2 linked regions of the Kluyveromyces lactis genome follow. The protein of the gene in region 2 binds, or shares a complex with, the protein of the main gene of each other region. Links are inferred from orthologs where the notes say so. Each region holds a gene or a part of one and is shown on either strand. Other genes may lie near its edges. The genes, in order: RDS3 and MUD1.

Region 1 (2,056 bases), on a different chromosome or scaffold from region 2:
AAGAAGGACATCAGTAGAAGATAAAATACTAAAGCTGAAAAGTAACCATGAACAGAATATGTCGAAATGGTATTCGCTACACTCACAGCTTAACATATACCTTGACACGGTACCCTTATCAACAAAGACTAGATCAAACTTAATCGATCATGTCAATGGTATAATAAAAAGAATAGAAATGGTCTCATATCAAAACGAAAGACTTGATATATACGTTAAACTCTTGAAGCTTGTATTTGGTCTGGAACCAAATCCAAGTGAATATAATCGATACGAAGCCAATTCCATCGAAGAGAGTTTCTTATTTAACCAATAATCAAAAAGTTTTGGCCAAGCTTCGATCTCGGAAATAGATTGAGCGATGGTTCAATGTTTTTACCGACTAAAACTTTAAAAGTATCATTCTCAGAATGCCATAAATTGGAAACGATGGAAATTAAGAATTCATGCATGTAAATATACAACACTGTATCAGCGTATGAACAGTAAAATAACAAATTATAGTTCCTTAAGATAGAAATCGATATCCTATACTCCTTTGCCGGTATCCGCCGTCTTTTTGTTATATAACCTGTCCGTCTTATTGCTACCCACATTCAAAATTCTGGGACAGCCATCTCGGCTTCGTTCAGATCTGTGGCAGTCCCAACAATATAACGCTTCATGCGTTCCAGGACTTCCGCAAATTATACACCTGCTTCCACTACTTCCAGAGGAGCAAGAGTCGCATATCCGTACCTTAGAAATTAGCCTTACATCTGAATCACATAAGGGACATCTTCCATCACATCTATCACAAACCTTCCCTACAGAGGTTCCAGGAAGTTTCATGCACATAACCAAGTCGTACTGATGGCGAGACATCTTAATCCAGTGATAATAATAGTAATATAAATAGATTAATAAGACCTGACGGTGTATGGGGAAAAACACTTAGTTTTCTGTTCTTTGTTTTAATATGTGGGTTCTTTTAGTTTTGATATCTAAGGTACAATTTTATAGAAGATGGGCTTAAGTGGCAGCCGTTGATTTAAACAGGAACTGATCTACAGGATAGGCCAAAAAAACGAAGAAAAGTAGGTTTGGAAACCGTTCATATTATATGACCCTCCGAGCAACTACATTATATATCACAAGATGATTGAAATATGTGGTATTTGTTTGGAATCTATGAATGAAACTGATCAAGGGGAGCTTTTACCCTGTGAGCATAGATATCATGTTTCTTGTATTAGGAAGTGGCACTTATATTCGAACGATTTTAAGTGTCCTACATGCAGAAAAGAGTCCAAAAGCCTTCGCCGTAAACATGATGATATCGAGATTGATTTGAAGTACTGGTGTAATGTGTCGTTGATCGAGCAGTTTGCCAAGCTTCGATTACTGAATGATGATGAGCAAGAAGCAGTAGCAGCGATAGAAGAGGAAGAGGAAGAAGAAGAAGAAGAAGAGGAAGAGGAAGAAGATCCTAATGGCAATGGTGACCAGGATACACTACAATCGGAAGAGATCGGACATCAGCCACAGAATAATAATGGCATGCAGGGAGTAGAGCTCTTGCAATGTGCCTTATGCGGTGAAATTGATGATGACATAACGTTATACTGTGAATCATGTGAGACGTTATTCCACTCTTCATGCCTGAATGAGTTATTGTGCGAAGTCGGTGAGAAAGAATGGTGTTGCATAGAGTGTGATGGTACTCTTTGTAGACTACGTGGGAACAAAGTATCTTCAATGGTAATACGAGATTCGAACGTGAGAATTTACGATGGAAGGATGAGAGATAAGCGAAGTATTCTTACTGAATGCATTTACAATAGATTCGCACAACCTTACACCATCAGTTACGAGGACAAATGCAGGATACAAGGATACGTACGAACAGAGTTGGATAAATTCTACCACCGCGGATCTTTATCGAAGGATCGATACATCGCCATAAACAAAATGGTGTCACGGAAGTTATATGGGTTATCTTCAACTGGGTTCGATCCCAGCAGGATAAATTACGAGGAGCAGGCTAGGCTCTCCATCAGGGAAGTTATGTAATTGT
Region 2 (2,881 bases):
TAGGTTCCGTCCAGTTGCCGGAATAGAAACCGGTAGTGCCTCTGAGCAAAGTAAGCCTTCTCTTGCAGAGATTAAGGATATTATCAACAGAACTTCTGGCCCATTAGGTTTGAAGAAAGATCTATTAAAGAAAGTTCAAGAGGCTTTACCAGAAGAACATTTCAACGATACTCAAATCCAAGAACAGATAAGATCGTTGAATGCTATAATGAGCGATAAATATAAGAATTATTATGCTGTAGGGGACAAATTATACAAGCCAGCAGGTAACCCAATTTATTACAAAAGATTGCATGACGAAATCGAAGGTAAGGGTAAGGAAACTTTCTTTACAGCTATGAGAACTGTCGTATTTGGTAAGTAATTTCGGTTTCAGGGTTTTAGAGCTTCGTATGCATATATGTATATATCATTTCTGTCTTTTTCGTTTCTAGTGTATCTGTACTGTACAGGCCTCCATACACTGACTGTAAATAATTTATATTCAATCTATTCTATTTATTCTGTTTATCTGTTGCTGATAAATGTACTATTAAAGCGTAGATTGTTGGTTCCAGTTCCGACCTGTGAACGCTTTGAATTTATTGATTCGCATTGAAATGTAGAATCATTTCTTGGCGTATCCAATCTTTATCGTTACATTCTTGAATGGATGATCATGACCTAAGGTTTCAACAACTTTAGTGGCATTTGCTGTAGAATCATATTCAACAAAGCAAAGATTTCTGACACTGACCAATCTAACCTCTTTAAATCCATCTGAGACAAATAACTTTTCCAATTCTTGCTGAGTAACATCTTTTGGAAGATTTTGAACCAATAGGACATGGTGAGGGGGATTTCCGACAATGTCAAAGACTTTTTTAGTGGAGGAAACTTTCTCCGACTGCTGTGACATAGCAGTCTTGTTGGTACCTTCAGGATTTGTTTTTCTGGGCTTTGAAAGAAGCTTCTGTATGGTTTCTTCGTCCAAATCCTTCTTTCTAAGCTTACTTCTAGCTCTTCTTAACCTTCTTTTCAACACTTCGTTTTTTGTCTTGGTCTTGGGCTGTGAATTATCCACAGCTTTACGTGTACGTAACCGAAGTTCATCCTGTAGCTGTTTCTGTTGTCCCTGGTAGTACAAAGCTGCGAAAGAATCCGTATTCGCCAGCTTTATATTTATCTTTCTCCCATTAATCTTGAGCTTGCCTTGAAATTCTATAAGGAACGTATTACAACTGTCTGAGTCCTTAAAAGTGACGAAACAAGACCTCCTCAAGGGTCTTGAGCCATACCTTGATACCTCTATGATCTGATACTTTTCATCGAGTACTGGTGTAACCGCATCAGCCTCACTAGTTTCTTTCTTCGAGTTCAGATCGAATCTTGTACTAACATCATTTGAAATAGAACGATGATCTGAATTAACACTTGATAGTAGTAAGGCTCTGAATTTGGACAATGAGTCGGGCCTCGACGGTAGATTCGACAGATATAAGGTACTGACCATTGCTTGCCGATAGATACTAGCTTTGTATGGCATGTGTAATAACCTAATAGAGAAGGATATCACAACCTATTAACAAATAGTCCATACGTATTAGTATTAGTAAATTTGTTGACAATGAAAGTTGTTGTTACGTTAAGTTAAGATTATATGAATAACTAAATACTAAATAGAAATGTAAATACAGTGAGAACAAAACAAAAAAAAACGAACAGAGAAACTAAATCCACATTAATTGAGAGTTCTATCTATTAGAAAATGCAAACTCCAACTAAATGGGAAAACAGATAACCTCTTTTATTTTTTTTTAATGTTTGATATTCGAGTCTTTTTCTTTTGTTAGGTTTATATTCATCATTTCAATGAATAAAAGAAGCTTCTTATTTTGGTTGCAAAGAATGAAAAAAAAGGATTTTTTCATACTTCTAAAGCTTCAATTATAACCAAAAATTTTATAAATGAAGAGAAAAAATCTAGTAGTATCAAGTTAAACTTATTTCTTACCAGCCTTGACAGCGGCCTTGGTGACCTTACCGGCCTTGTCAGTCTTGTCAACGGACTTGATAACACCGACAGCGACGGTTTGTCTCATGTCTCTGACAGCGAATCTACCTAGAGGTGGGTAGTCAGAGAAGGCTTCAACACACATTGGCTTAGATGGAACGAACTTAACCAAAGCAGCATCACCGGACTTCAAGAACTTTGGAGAGTCTTCCAACTTCTTACCGGATCTTCTGTCGTTCTTTTCCAACAATTCGTCGAACTTACAAGCAATGTGAGCAGTGTGACAATCCAAAACTGGAGAGTAACCAGCAGAGATTTGACCTGGATGGTTCAAGACGATAACAGTGGCGTTGAAAGAAGCAGCAGCCTTTGGTGGATCGTTCTTGGAGTCACCACAGACGTTACCTCTTCTGATTTCCTTAACGGAAACGTTCTTGACGTTGAAACCGACGTTGTCACCTGGTAGACCTTCTTCCAATTGTTCGTGGTGCATTTCGACGGACTTAACTTCAGTAGTAACACCGGCTGGGGCGAAGGTAACAATCATACCTGGCTTGATAACACCGGTTTCGACTCTACCGACTGGCACAGTTCCGATACCACCAATCTTGTAGACATCTTGCAATGGCAATCTCAATGGCTTGTCAGTTGGTCTGGATGGTGGTTCGATAGCGTCAATAGCTTCCAACAAGGTCTTACCCTTGACGACACCGGACTTGGTTTCCTTTTCCCAACCCTTGTACCATGAAGCATTGGTGGTGGCTTCAATCATGTTGTCACCGTTCCAACCAGAGATTGGGACGAATGGAACAGTCTTTGGGTTGTAACCGACCTTCTTGATGAAGTTAGAGGTTTCCTTGACAATTTCTTGGAAACGAGATTCATCCC

Evidence for each region.
Region 1: MUD1 (region 2) and RDS3 share a complex: the UniProt entries of both Saccharomyces cerevisiae proteins name them as parts of the spliceosome. The link is inferred for Kluyveromyces lactis from reciprocal best matches to the Saccharomyces cerevisiae genes MUD1 and RDS3.

What each region holds. Positions count from the first base shown.
Region 1 is NC_006039.1:1,359,152-1,361,207, forward strand, and holds RDS3 (U2 snRNP complex subunit RDS3), read right to left. Parts: upstream 865-2,056; coding exon 529-864; downstream 1-528. Other genes in the region: Arf family guanine nucleotide exchange factor SYT1, read left to right, coding at 1-316; ubiquitin-protein ligase ASR1, read left to right, coding at 1,138-2,052. UniProt on the Saccharomyces cerevisiae protein: Required for pre-mRNA splicing. Involved in regulation of drug sensitivity and may play a role in multidrug resistance.
Region 2 is NC_006038.1:785,515-788,395, forward strand, and holds MUD1 (Mud1p), read right to left. Parts: upstream 1,526-2,881; coding exon 608-1,525; downstream 1-607. Other genes in the region: CBP6 (Cbp6p), read left to right, coding at 1-364; TEF2 (translation elongation factor EF-1 alpha), read right to left, coding at 1,983-2,881. UniProt on the Saccharomyces cerevisiae protein: Involved in nuclear mRNA splicing. The principal role of the U1A is to help fold or maintain U1 RNA in an active configuration. It is the first snRNP to interact with pre-mRNA.